Caenorhabditis elegans: one gene and its partner. The protein of the gene in region 1 interacts with the protein of each later gene in a pairwise test. Each region holds a gene or a part of one and is shown on either strand. Other genes may lie near its edges.

What was found.
Region 2: the proteins of Y48E1C.1 (region 1) and F35H10.5 interact in a two-hybrid assay, tested with the Caenorhabditis elegans proteins (one large-scale study listed by BioGRID).

The regions. Positions count from the first base shown.
Region 1 is NC_003280.10:13,411,588-13,419,857, forward strand, and holds the start of Y48E1C.1 (Centromere protein S), read left to right. Parts: upstream 1-3,438; 5' UTR 3,439-3,441; coding exon 3,442-3,499; intron 3,500-4,269; coding exon 4,270-4,322; intron 4,323-4,440; exon of another isoform or gene 4,441-7,426; coding exon 7,427-7,672; intron 7,673-8,270. Other genes in the region: Y48C3A.18 (Threonylcarbamoyl-AMP synthase), read left to right, coding at 1,062-1,149, 1,415-1,592, 2,368-2,493, 2,915-3,173.
Region 2 is NC_003282.8:8,297,163-8,303,142, forward strand, and holds F35H10.5 (Centromere protein X), read left to right. Parts: upstream 1-3,605; 5' UTR 3,606-3,615; coding exon 3,616-3,744; intron 3,745-3,826; coding exon 3,827-3,937; 3' UTR 3,938-4,003; downstream 4,004-5,980. Other genes in the region: tbce-1 (Tubulin-specific chaperone E), read left to right, coding at 1-33; nprl-3 (GATOR complex protein NPRL3), read left to right, coding at 331-374, 465-544, 589-664, 719-1,157, 1,483-1,598, 1,653-1,904, 2,026-2,470, 2,523-2,606; F35H10.6 (Spindle and kinetochore-associated protein 2), read left to right, coding at 2,779-2,837, 2,886-2,991, 3,034-3,101, 3,146-3,389.

The DNA of each region.
Region 1 (8,270 bases):
GACCTCAATAAAAACACGAGGAATTCAAATTTTTGGCCGTGGAGCGCGCTTGCATCACGATTTCAACCCCCCCCCCCCCCCCTGATGACGTCACAGTGTACCTTTTTTTTGAATCTCGGTTGAATTATCTCTTCCATTATTATTACATCTCCCCCGCCCAGAATATCTCAGGTTTTTTGTTTTAAAATATTATTTTTGAAAATTTTCTAATTTCTTTTAATTCTCTATACCTTTTTCGGCTCATAAATTCCCCTTTTTTTTCTCGAAAGTTTGATTTAAACATATACATATGTACGAATTTTATTGATTTTTTTTTTCGATTTTTTTCTCCAATTTTATGGTTTACTACCACAGCCAATTTTCTATCTTTCTTAAATTACATTTTCAGGAAAATCGAATTTAGATTAAAAAAAATATATATTGCAAAAACCCACAAACACAAACAGAAAAGTTCGAATTTTGCAAATTTTGTTTGTCCGAGAGGAGTACACGAAATTTTCAAATTTTTGATAAGCTAATTTTCAAACCAAAATTTCTTAAAATTCGGATCGTCCGAAAGGAGTACAATTTTTTTTTGAAAAAGACGAAAACAAAATTTTGAAAATTCAGGTTGTCCGAGAGGACTACACAAAATTTTGAAAATTCAGGTTGTCCGAGAGGAGTACAATTCATTTCGAAAAAATTTTAAAAAAAATCTACTTTCGATTTTCCGAGAGGAGTACAATTCATTTCGAAAAAATTCGAATTCCGAATTTTGAAAATTCAATTTTCGATTTTCCGAGTGGACTACAATTTGTTTCGAGAAAATTGAAAAAAAAAACCTGATTTCGATCGTCCGAAAGGAGTACAATTCATTTCGAAAAAATTTTAAAAAAATCTAATTTCGATTTTCCGAGAGGAGTACAATTCATTTCGAAAATATTCGAATTCCTAATTTTGAAAATTCAAGTTGTCCGAGAGGACTACACGAAAATTAAAGCCAAAAAATTATGCAAAAATTCAAATTTTCGAAAATTAGGATTTTCCGAGAGGAGTACAAATTTTCAGCATTCCAAAAAAAAATGACAGCCGGCGGCCGAATTCTACGGCTCACCGCCGACAACATTGAGGAGGCAATTGACGCGGCGGTTTGCGTATTTCTGAGAGGAGGTTAGCACCCCGCCTCCTACAGTACCCCTACCGTACTCCCTAGGGCTTTCATGGTAGGCAGGCGCCGCCTGCCTGATGCCTGCCTGCCTCACCCCGACATTTCGCTCTTTTTTTCATTTTTAAGAATTTACAATTTTCGAATTTTCTCAATTCTAGTAATAAGGCGCCGCCAATTGAGGCGATAGGCAGGCAGGCGGGAGACAGGCAGGCATTTCACTGCCTGCCTGGAAGCCCTAGTACCCCTTCGACCAATTCTCCTCTCCAGGAATCGTCGCCCTACCAACCGACACTCTCTACGGAATCTCCACCCTACTACAGTACTCTGACAGGCTCTACGCGTTGAAACAACGGCCGTACGAGAAGCCGCTCGGCATTTTTCTGCCGAGCCCGACGGCGATGAAGCTCGTCTCAAGGCAGACGATTTCCGATGAGCTAGCGAATTGGTTCGTATAGAAAATTTGGAGCTCAGCGGAGCTCTTGAAAACACCAGATTTGACGCGCAATTTTTTGGAAATTTGCTCGTAAAATATGGTGTATTGGCTCCGCCCCCAATGCACCAGATTTCACGCGCATAATTTAGAAAAACTGAGCTTGCGGACTCGAAAACACTAGATTTGACGCGCGAATTTTTTCAAAAATTAAAATTTGCTCGTCAGATCAAGTGTATCGACTCCGCCCCCTCCCAATGCACCAGATTTCACGCGCATAATTTAGAAAAACTGAGCTTGCGGACTCGAAAACACTAGATTTGACGCGCGAATTTTTTCAAAAATTAAAATTTGCGCGTAAAATATGGTGTATTGGCTTCGTCCCCAATGCACCAGATTTGACGCGCAAACTTTGAAAATCTGCTCGTAAAATATGGTGTATTGGCTCGGCCCTCAATGCAACAGATTTCACGCGCAAATTTGAGAGAAATTTGAGCTTGCGGAGTCAATACACCAGATTTGACGCGCAAATTGTGGAAATTTGCTCGTAAAATATGGTGTATGGACTCCGCCCCCAATGCACCAGATCTGACGCGCAGTTTTTCATCGAAAAAATTAAAATTTGCTCGTCAGATCAAGTGTATCGGCTCCGCCCATCAATGCACCAGATTTTACGCGCAAAGTTGAGAGAAGTTTGAGCTTGCGTACTTGAAAACACCAGATTTGACGCGCAAATTTTATGAAAAATTTAAATTTGAGCGTAAGATATGGTGTATCGACAAATTTTCAGCCTCCTCCCCGGTCCAGTTACATTAATGTTCGAACGCCTTCCATGCCTACCGGCGGAATTTAATCCGGGAGTTGTTAACGTAGCCTGTCGGGTTCCAGACTGCCCAATTGTTTCGACGATATGCAAGTAAATAATGGAAAAATAACGTTGTTTTGGAAATCGAAAAATCAATAATTATCGATTTTTCTAAATTTTTTGAAATTCGAAAAATCGGCAATTATCGATTTTTTTTTGAAAATCGCCAATTATCGATTTTTTGGAAATCGGCAATTATCGATTTTTTTGAAAATCGGCAATTATCGATTTTTTTGAAAATCGCCAATTATCGATTTTTTTGAAATCGGCAATTATCGATTTTTTGGAAAATCGTCAATTATCGATTTTTTGGAAATCGGTAATTATCCATTTTTTGAAAATCGGCAAATAATCGATTTTTTTGAAAATCGCCAATTATCGATTTTTTTGAAATCGGCAATTATCGATTTTTCAATTTTTTTTTCAGAAACCAGTAATTATCAATTTTCCAATCCGGTCCCATTTTTTCCAGAAAACTCGGCCAACCGCTCGCTCAAACATCGGCCAACGTCAGTGGATCCTCACTCAACCCGACATCAATCGATCATTTCCGAGATCTTCATCCGAATATCGATCTGATCCTCGACGCCGGATCAATCATCTCCAGTGGTGAAGGATCAACGATTGTCGATTTGACTGTTGAATCAGGATTCCGGATTGTTCGAAGTGGATGTGCTGAGAAGGAGACGATGCAGAAGCTTAAATCATTCGGATTGACGAAAATTCAGTGATCTTGGGGTTGTGAAGTTGGAAGAGTTTTTCAAGTTTCTAGGCCACCCGACGTCACAAATTCTGTATTTTCCACATTTTTCTATGATTTTTTCTTGTTTTGTACACTGATTTTGTTGATTTTTTGTTAATAATTCATATTTTTTGGAAAATCTTTTTTTATTATTTTTTGCCATTTCCCCAGTGTTTCTCAACACTTTTTATATCGATTTCCAAACAATTTTATTTGAAAATTCTAATTTTCAGAAAAAAAAACAAATTTTACAGATAATGGGAGACCCTGTGGAGGGCAAGGGAGGACCACAACCGCGTGGCGGCAAGAAAAAAGGTAATTTTTGGGGGTCTCGTAGCGATTTTACGGGTAGTAGTTACAGTAGGTCCAAAACTTTTTTTTTCCAAAACATTAATTTCCCCCCAAATTTCGAATTTCGCGCCAAAAATTTGGAAATAAAAAATTCAAATTATCCTCAACAACATTTGTTTGAAAAATTCAATTTTAATCGTGCGCCAGAAATTTTGAAAAAAATTGGATTTCCCCCCAAAAATGTTTTCAAAGTATTTAAATTTCCCGCCAAAAATTTAGGAGCTGTACAGTACCCCTACAGTACCCCTTCAGTACTGCTACAGTACACCTACAGTGTCCCTATAGTACCCCTATAGTACTCCTACAGTACTCCTACCGTACCCCTACTGTACTTCTACAGTACCCATACAGTACCCCTACAGTATCCCTACAGTTCTCTTATAGACCAGTACAGTACTAACACAGCACCCCTACAGTACCCCTACACTCCCCCTACAGTACTCCCACAGTACCCCTACAGTACCCCTACAGTACCCCTACAGTACCCCTACAGTACTCCTACAGTACCCCTACAGTACTCAAAAAATTTGAATTTCGAAATTCAAAAAAAGTTCAAAATTTTAACTCCCGCCAAATTTTTTTGTTGAAAATTTAAATTTCTCACCAAAAAATGTGTTTTTTTTTTCAAAATTTTGAATTCCCGTAAATTAAAATTTCATTTTTGCGCCAGATTTTTTCAAAATTCAAAATTTCCACCAAAGTTTTCGAAAATTCCCAACAAAAAAAAATTCCAGACGCAGACGACGAGAAGAACGCGTGGGAAGAGGGTGATTTCATAGATGAAAAGGTTCGTTTTTTGAAATTTGAAATTTTCCATTTAAAAAATTAGAAAAAAAAGTAGTACTAGACCCCCCCCCCCCCCTCCCCTAACACAGAACAATCCCCCTAAGATGTACATAATATAGATCCATCTCAAATTGAGCCGGGGCTCCACTTGCACATCATCTGCCACGTCATCGGCCCCCTCATCCACGTCATCAACACGTGCCCGGCGCAATTGGTCAGTCTTCTCGGAGCGGCTACGGGAAACGTTGAGCCGAGTCGGCGGCGGCGGTCCCTCATCCACTACTGATTCTCTGATATTGTTTGACGTGAAACGTGTTGGTGATTGCATGTGGATTTGTGAACGAGCTGCTTCTCCTCCGTCTTCCTTTGATTCATCTTCCTCGGATTCCGATGACGATTCGTTTCTTCGAATCTTCAAATTCTTCCCACCAACCCCTGCAGTCTCCTTGGACACCCTTGCGTCGGGATTTGACAACACTGGAAATGTGAGGATCTGGCCTGGAAGTGAGGCACTCGCCTGGACCATCCTACGGGATCCCAACAAGATCCTTGGTCCCAGCCTTGGCGACGGTGATGGTGGTGGCCACAGGAGAATCCTAGAGCTTGGCGCTGGCTTCTTGGGACTTTCAAGCATTCTGATTGCATGCAAGGTTCCCGATTCGAGTGTCTGGGTTACAGATGGTAACATGGAATCCGTGCGTTCTCTGGAAAAGATTCGAAATTCAAACTCGTCGTTGGATCGCTGCTGCCACGTGCGGCAGTTGATTTGGGGCGCACAAGAGCTCCAGCAGCAGCACACCTTTGACACGATTCTCGCGGCGGACTGTGTATTCTTCTCGGAGCACCACGAATCTCTCATGAAATGCATTCACTCGCACCTTCGGCCCAGTGGCCGAGCGATTTTGTCGAGCCCCCGCCGGAAGCAAAGTTTGCAAAAGTTTTTGGACTATGTTGGCACTGTGTGGAGTGACGAGTTCACGGTTTGCATCGAGCCGGATCTCAATTTGGCGTTGGAGCAGAAAATCGGACGAATTTGGATGGACGGAGAGGAGAAGGACGAGAAATTTCCGATTCTTGTGATTCTGCAGAAAATTTGAGAAAATTTAATTTCTTAAATTAAAAAAAAAAAAAACTCGTTGCGTTAGATTTACGCGGCTCGTGTACTCCTCCTCAATTTCGTGGTGTATTTTGCATTCAAATCGCGTCTACACGTGGTGGCGCCGCGCCTGTCCCCTTACGGTTTGATCTACAAAAAATTCGGGATTTTTTTAGCCCAAAAAATGTGACGTCAGCACGTTCTTAACCATCAATTGAGAACTCTGCGTCTCGAGAGAAGATCTTCTCCCGCATTTTTTGTAGATCTACGTAGATCAAGCCGAAATGAGAGACACTCTGACAAAACACCACACCTATTCATAGTGTTTTGTGTGAAAATCTATGTTTTTTTTTCTGACAAAAAATTATTTTTCTCATAAAACAATATAAATTACCAATTTTTGTTGAAAATCGCCAATTATCGATTTTTTTGAAAATCGGCCATTATCGATTTTTTTTGAAAATCGGCAATTATCGATTTTTTTGAAAATCAGCAATTATCGATCTTTTTGAAAATCGGCAACTATCGATTTTTTTTTGAAAATCGGCAATTATCGATTTTTTTTGAAAATCGGCAATTATCGATTTTTTTGAAAATCGGCAATTATCGATCTTTTTGAAAATCGGCAATTATCGATTTTTTTTTGAAAATCGGCAATAATCGATTTTTTGAAAATCGGCAATTATCGATTTTTTTGAAAATCGCCAATTATCGATTTTTTTGAAAATCGCCAATTATCGATATTCTTGAAAATCGGCAATTATCGATTTTTTTTTGAAAATCGGCAATTATCGATATTCTTGAAAATCGGCAATTATCGATTTTTTGGAAATCGGCAATTATCGATTTTTTGGAAATCGGCAATTATCGATTTTTTTTTTGAAAATCGCCAATTATAGATTTTTTAATTTTTTCTGAAAAAAAAGGATTTTCTCCTAAAACGCATTGAATAAAAACCGATTTAAGGTTAAATACAAAAACAACAGAAAATTGCCCAAAATCGAGAATTCTCGAGAAATCTTCTCCTCGGGGACTACACGAGGCGCGTAAATCAACACATACGACTCTTTCATTTTCGATACGTGCCTGCGCCTTCAAAAAGTGGTTACTGTACCCTTGGCGCACGGCATGTGGTCTCGACACGACCGAAACTTTGCAGCTACCATGGTTACTGTAGCTGCGGAGTTCCTGGGTCTCGCAACGATTTAGTTCATCTCAATGTTTTTTTTTTAAATAACAACAAAACAAGTGTAATTAGTTTGTGTATGTTTTCCGGTATCCTACCACTTTTATCGATTTTTCGATTTTTCTATCGATTTTTCTTTCTTGGCTGTGATTCCTTCCCCACCCCCCTCGAGCTTCAGATTTTAGACGTATCTCTCTCTTTTACAGTTTCTTGTCTCGCAATAATTTTTTAAATCGCATTTTCTAGCATTTCACCATTTCACCTACAAACAAATGTATCTCACCAATGTCGAAAAAATCATTTATACAGAATAAAGTTTAATTTAGCTGATCTCTTTTGAATTCGATGGCTTCTGCCTTTCTATAGCTGATTGGTGGTGCAAAAATCGATTTTTATCGATTTTACCCCAACAATCGGCAATAGAGCGCATTTGCCACCGGAAATGCGGAAGCTATGCCCAAATTTTCAATTTTTCCCGGGAAACATGCCACAAGTTACCGAATATGTAGTGGCTTCTGCGTTGCTATTCTGATTGGTGGTTCAAAATGACGTGGTTTCTGGCTGTCCCATTACGGTTTGATCTACAAAAAAAATGCGGGAATTCAGTTGAAAACTCTCTACGTCTCTGCTCCCGCGCATTTTTTGTAGATCTACGGAGATCAAGCCGAAATGAGACACTCTGACACCACGTGCGAAAATCGATATTCAAAGGTTACTAGCCTTTAAATATTGATTTTGCTCCAACAATTGGCCATAGAGCGCATTTGCCACCGGGGATGCGGAAGCTATCCCCAAATTTTCACCTTTTCTCCTTTTCCAATAGGAACTAAAAGGTGCTCTACAACTCGGTGTGCTCAAAACCGCCGACTCGGTTGCTCTGCGAGCCGGCGAGCGAAACGGTCTGGATATGGTGGTCGAAGAGGACGTGGTCAGTCAAGTCGGAGCTCTCGTCTGGGATACGGTTGCACAAGACTGGGCAGACGATTTGGCGAGATTTGTGGCTCACGCCGGACGTCAGAGGGTTAATATGGACGATATTTCGCTGCTGACGAGGAGGAATCCGGATTTGGTGGGTTTTGTTGAGCAAAAAAAAAATTCTGAAAATTTTGCAAAAAAAAGTTTTTTTACTAAAAAAAAGGCACAAATAAGGCCACGCCCCAGAAATGGGCGGGGCTTGATTTTTTACTCGGAAAATTTGAATTTTCCGTCAAAATATTTTTTTTTGATCTCAAAAAATTCGAATTTGCCGGCCAAATTGTTTTTCTCAAAAAAAAAAAAAATTCCCGCTAAAATGGTTTTTTGGAAAATTTGAATCCCCACCAAAAAACTTTTTTCAGAAAACTTGAATTTCCCGCCCAAATTGGTTGATCAAAATATTTGAAAAAAACCCGTCAAAATTGTTCAGGTCCCGCCCACATAATGGACAAAAATTGTTTTTTTCTCAAAAAATTTGAATTTCCCTCTTCTAAATTTTTAAAATGAAGCCACCACGCCCACAAAATGGACAGAATTAACGTAAAAAAAAATTTATGGAAATTTCCTAATTTTGTACCTAAAAATGAAAATCAAAGCTCATTTTTTTCCAAAAAATGTAGAATTGTATATTTTGAAGCATTTTTTTCTGAACAATTTGAATAAAAACGGAATTTTTTGCTTAAAAAAATGCA
Region 2 (5,980 bases), on another chromosome or scaffold:
GATCGAGATATTCTTGTTGTGGAACATGATTGAATTGTTACCGGAAGATTATTTATTGCACAACTTATTGTTTGTTACAAAATATATGAGCTTTAACTTGCATAAAATTCCTTAATTTCTTATCAGCGAAAATGTCCGTTAAAAATACTATCCGTTATGTATCGATTTCAATACTATTTACAATTATTCCGATTATGGAATAAAATCAATCAGTGAAAATTTCACTTTTGAAAATTTCGTCATATGCATGGGTCTCGCAACTATTGTTGGTTTTTTTTGTACTGTGATCTACTATTGCATACCAGAAAATCTTTTTTGAATTTTTGAAGAATGTCAGCGAAAGAAGTGGATTTCGAGAGAGAAAGTCATCTTCAGTGAGTTTTTAAATTACTGAAAATCAATAGTTATTTGTGATCTTGTTGAATAAAGTTCAATTTATCATAAAAATAATTTTGAATTTTCAGTGCTGTGATGTGTTTTCTCACTGGACAAAGCGGCGAAAAGATTGTATCTATTTATCCACATCGAAAACCAGCTACCAAAGGTAATCTGAACAATATAAAATCTCAAAAAAAAAAACATTTTCAGCTCCATCGAAAGATCCACAACCTTCCAGCTCTAATCCAGGACAATGTGTGAAGCCAGTTCTTACAAGTGTCAAAGAGTTCGTTTAAATCCGAATATTTAAATTTAAATATTCAAACGTTCAAAATTTCAGTCCAAGTTATGGTTTCGGACGTGTGGATACAGAATTCGACATGTCTCTCGGAATGCTTGCTTATGTGTTCAAAACTCAAGAAATTGCGTGTAACGATGGGTTCGATATGAAGATCAATAATCAAAGATTCGTTGCATATCCGAAGACATGGAAAGCACGTGGTGAATCCACCAACTATCAGATTTCGATTGTTTTTGCACTTAAAAACGGATGTGAACAGCACACAGCGTCCGCATATCAAACACTTTCGAATAAGATTGCAGTCAGTTTGGTCATGCTCCAAAACTATTTTGGATTTCTGGAACGAGAGGACAAGTGGGCAGATAATGCTGAAGAACCTAATAAAGATCATCCTCTGGAAGAGTTCGCAAAGACTAGTTTCATAGTTCAACCATTGGCTGAAATGTTTGAAGAAGTGCGAAATCGAGGAAATATTCATGTAAGATTCAAATTCTTTTAAATTCAGATTTGTTTCCACTAAAGGTTCTATCAGATTTTGATTACAATATTTATTGTAATTTCGCGATATTTTTGACATGTCATTTCAAAGGAACACGCATTTTTCCCATGGTGGTCTTGTCACGATATCAGGGTGCCAGACTTTACAGATTTGTTCATTTGATGTAGAAAAAAAACTTTTGAAATTTTAAATTCTAACCTGTTCAGAAAAACAGAATTTATCATGTACCATTTAAGCACCTAGTAGTATCACTTTACGCGAATGGATGATAAAATTCAATCTAGACTTAAAAAAACATTTCCAGAAATATCTCATAAATTTTGTGGAACTTGGATTTTGTGATGAAGCACATGCCTTGACGAAGTTAAATGTAGTGCCGAAAGGAAGGCAGGAAATCGATGAAATCGTCAGAAAAATGAAGTGAGTTTTTCCTATAATAACCCATTTTTTGGAACTACAAAAACTATTTTTCAGACCTTATCACGGAATTTTGCTTCTCGAAGATGTGTGGCCAACTCCAGATGCAAATCCGATTGTTGCTAAACTTCTCAGTCATTGTAGTCCGGATCGTTCAATTTTGGATATGTCAACGGCGTCTGGAATCCCGATTTTTGAAGTTTTCATGATCATTCGACACTTACTGCAATGGACACGTGCTATTCTCATTTATCCTTTATGTAATACAAACATCTATACATCTGCAACAAGTCCACAACCTCTTGATAAGTGAGCAATTTTTTTGTTTTTTAAACTATATTTTATAAATTCAAAACAAAATCACTATTTTCATAGAACATTTTGATTAGTCAAGGATTTTATTGTTACATTGAAATTCAACAAGTTACAGAATGGCAGAGAAGTTCACAGCTCAATTCGGCAATACCATTCACTTGGCTGCCGGGCTGGCTCATTTCAATCCCCCAAAAACACTGGATACGTTTATCCGAAAAAACCTTCCTCTACACGAACAGGGAGTTCGTGCGAAGCTTGTCGTTGCTTTGCTTCGTCATCAAATGCTCATGCAGTTGCATCAATTTTACTATATTCTGAAACCGTACTCGATCGCGATCCTACCAGAACCAAAAGAGCCATGTCCCGCTGAGTTTACGAAAATCATCGAGGAAAGCACATTACCAAATGACGTGAAGGGAGTTGTAGCGGATATTTGTGCTGAAATGCTCGAAACTACATCTTATGCCAGTGTCAAACGAACGTTGAGCCTTTTCGTAAAAGTTGCTCCGATGATGGATGGAAATCATCATTTGGAAGAAATCAAATACAAAAATAATTTGGTAAGAAATTGAATAGGGTAAATTCTGCTAATACTGATTAAGTATTTTCCAGGATCGTACAGAAATCGAGGGAGTTTTCGTGTCTTTCAAGCTTGTAATTGCTACATTCCGCCGTCCTGATTTTGTTGCCGAGTAGCCAAGGATCTTTTATTCCGGTTTTTATATTTTTCTCATTTATGTACAAAAAATGAAGCATGATTTTACCCCCTATATTAAATTTGTTTTTTTTTCTGAAAGAGGTTATTGCATAAAACCTACTATTTTTATAAATTTTTGAATACCTTCTCCAAAAAATGTATTCAGCTCAAATGGAAAACTATGTCTCTGCACAGGAAAGATACATGAAGTATTTGGAAGATTTGTCAGAGTGAGTACATCAATCGAATCGGAATAAATAATTGACAATTATTTACAGAAATGTTATTCATCCTAAAATTGCAACTGAGGAGAAGGAATTCAAAAAGTTGCAAAAACAGTGCGAGGAGTATGCAAAACTCAAGTTCACATGTCAACGGCTTCTGGTAAAGAGTTCAAAGTTAGACCTAAATCATCTTTTTTTCTAGAATGAGGCTCCAAAAACAACAGAAGGAAAGACCGAACTGGGACAGAGAGTTTTTATGAATATTGAAGTGTAAGATACTTATTATAACTACTACTTTTATTTTTGAATTTAAGGAGAGACACGAAGCATGTGGTTGTTAAGCTGTGTGACGATGTTTATGTGGAGATGAAGCTTCAAGACGCTATCAAAACATGTGATCGGAAGATGGACAGCTTAAAAAATATGATGGAAAAACTGCAAAAGTCAACCAATAAACTGAAAACCGACTTGACAATGCTTCTTGCCACGATGGATATGCCATATGTGGAACCATTCAGATTCACACTTCCTTCAGACTTCCCGTTTCGAATGGAATAATATTTGAATTTGTTCAATTTGTTTTTTTTTCCTATTTTTCCCAGGTCTCATCCACATTTCCCTACGATTTCTTTAAATAAATAACTTGTTTGTTTCAAATAACGGGATAGAAGATTTTTATTTGAATACAGTAATCCAGTTATAAATTCTCGTTATTATCTACTTCCTGAAATTTCAGACTTCTCGCGTATATCTGTGTAATTAGTAAGATTTCAGAATTTCAATCATGGTAATGCACATCAAACAGTCTACAGTAAGATCGATGTTGATTGTGGCTCGGCGAGGCAAGAAACGGTTGAACTTGGATCCGGATGCACTAGCTGTTCTCACAGCTCTTATCAATTTGCTTGCACAGGTGATTAATATGATTTTTTGAATTTTTACTCTTATTTAAAAAAATTTATTTTACAATTTTTTAAAATAACTTAAAATTTCAGGAGTCGGTAGCTCGAGCCGCACAGTCCGCTGCCAACACTGGAAGCCGCCACGTCACAAAAGAACACTTGAAACGAGTCATCGCTCAGCTAATGCTCGATTTTGCAATCTAAAAAAATCATCTCTTTAACTACCGATCTTCTTGTTTTCTTTATAATTCTGTATAAAACTAACTTATGAAATGTGTTCCACACAAATTGTTTAACCACTTGCGAGTTTGCGAAAAACATGAGTCACAGAAGCCGCCTGATCAGTTCCATTTGATTTTCGTGTCACACAATCATTTCAATCGGAGTTTTAGAATTCAGAGTATCGAATGTTTGTTTTTTCAAAGAAAGAGAATCGGCAAAAAATAGTTGAAGTGGAAGAGCATCGAGACTGACCAATACTGTGGTCATTGTTTGCACACATATTGAGCTCCAACCGGAAAGCAACAGAACAGAGACTTAGTGCAAGTTTGAAAGTCTAAGGTTTTCAAAGTTGAACCTACCCAATTAATTGATACAATCAAAATTTGAAAATTACGATTGTTGTTTCTAAATTCAACTTGCACAACTGAAGTTAACTAAGATCTAATTCCAGGATAAAGTATAGAAAAAAGGTCAGAATCTAAAGTTGTCAGTTTGAAATATGTTTGCTCGGCATTCGGCGACAATTTCTTTTGCCCATAAATATAACTTTCTTCGGAAGTTGGGTAACTTTGGCAAAAGTTGAATTTGTTTAGGCCGCGCCGAAGTTCCGACCGAGTTCAATCCAACATTTCCCCATGTCTTTCCAAAAGCGACACAAGATAAGTTTTGTTCAAAGATTGGCCTTGGTTGAATCAAAGTTTTGTTAAAGCAAAACTTGACAAGAATTTCCACTATTTAATATAAGTTTAATAAGTTAAGTTAAGTTAAGCATAAGCTATGTATAAGTTTAATTTGAAATAGATGCCATCCTGCAATTTGGCATTTTTAGTGGTGACGGCGTCAATCAGTCACACTCGTTGGTTTTTTACTCTTTGATTCAGAAGATACAGTACAGTGGTCGAAGGCGAGAAAAACTGTAGAGAAGAGAGAAATTGAGATAGAATTGAAGTCTAGCATGCGCAGTTTGTATTGTCATCGAGAGACTATTGAAGTTGACGAGACTCTGATCGGGAAGGGGGAGGCTTCGCGCCCCGCGGCCGAAAACCAGTGATTGATCTTCTTTTTGACGATGATCGGAGTAAGGAGTGGAAAAGTCTAAACGGCATTCGGAGGGGATGCTCCTTCTTCCGCTCTTACTCCTCTCTCGTCATTCTATGAGCATAGTGGCGGCGGCTTGTTCCCGTCCGCCGGAAAAAAGAACAGTGATAACGATTGCACTGTACTCTAGATCTTAAGACCATAGGTATTAAGTCTCAAGTTAGTCTAATATCTCACTCTAAGCCTCTGATACGGTGTTATTCTAACTTATAGTATCTGTTCTATTTTAAAGTTTATTTTTCCATTGATAAAGAAGAAGTTTGGTAAGGACTTGGCGTTATTTTGAAAGTATTTTCCATCTTCAAACATTTGTTATCATTTAAAATTATCCTAAAATAAACATCCGTTATGCGTCACCATCTTTTAATTTAAGACGATGCACTTCCATATTTTAGAGGTAGAAATACCCAAATAAAGTAGATATATGTACATTCAATTTTTGGCTTTTTTTTAAGCAGATTAGCCTTTAACACCTAGGGGTCAGTACGATTGCAATTATAGCTATATTCGATATCAAAAATTTTACTTGTCACTCGTTTACCAATTCTACTACCTCTCATCGTCCCGCTTAACTTTTCAACAAAAAACCAGTTTCCGATAGGAATCTATTGTGCCTTGAAACCTTGGTCACCCTTGACTCAACATCTTCTTTTCTTTCAACCTGCTTTTCATTTTCAATATGTCAATATTCAATTGATAACAAAATTGATATCCCCCTGCCTTCTTGTCAATATCACTTTCACTTTTGAAACCTGAATTTTGAATTCATAATTTGAAATTTCTCCGAATTCACCGTGCGCAGTGTGTCATAAAACCGATTACGACAACAATTTCCGTCACAAATCGGTCTGGTTCCATAACTATAACAATTGAGGCATTCGATTATTCACTATTTTGCCTTTTTTGTGTTGTTTTTTCCTCTCGAAA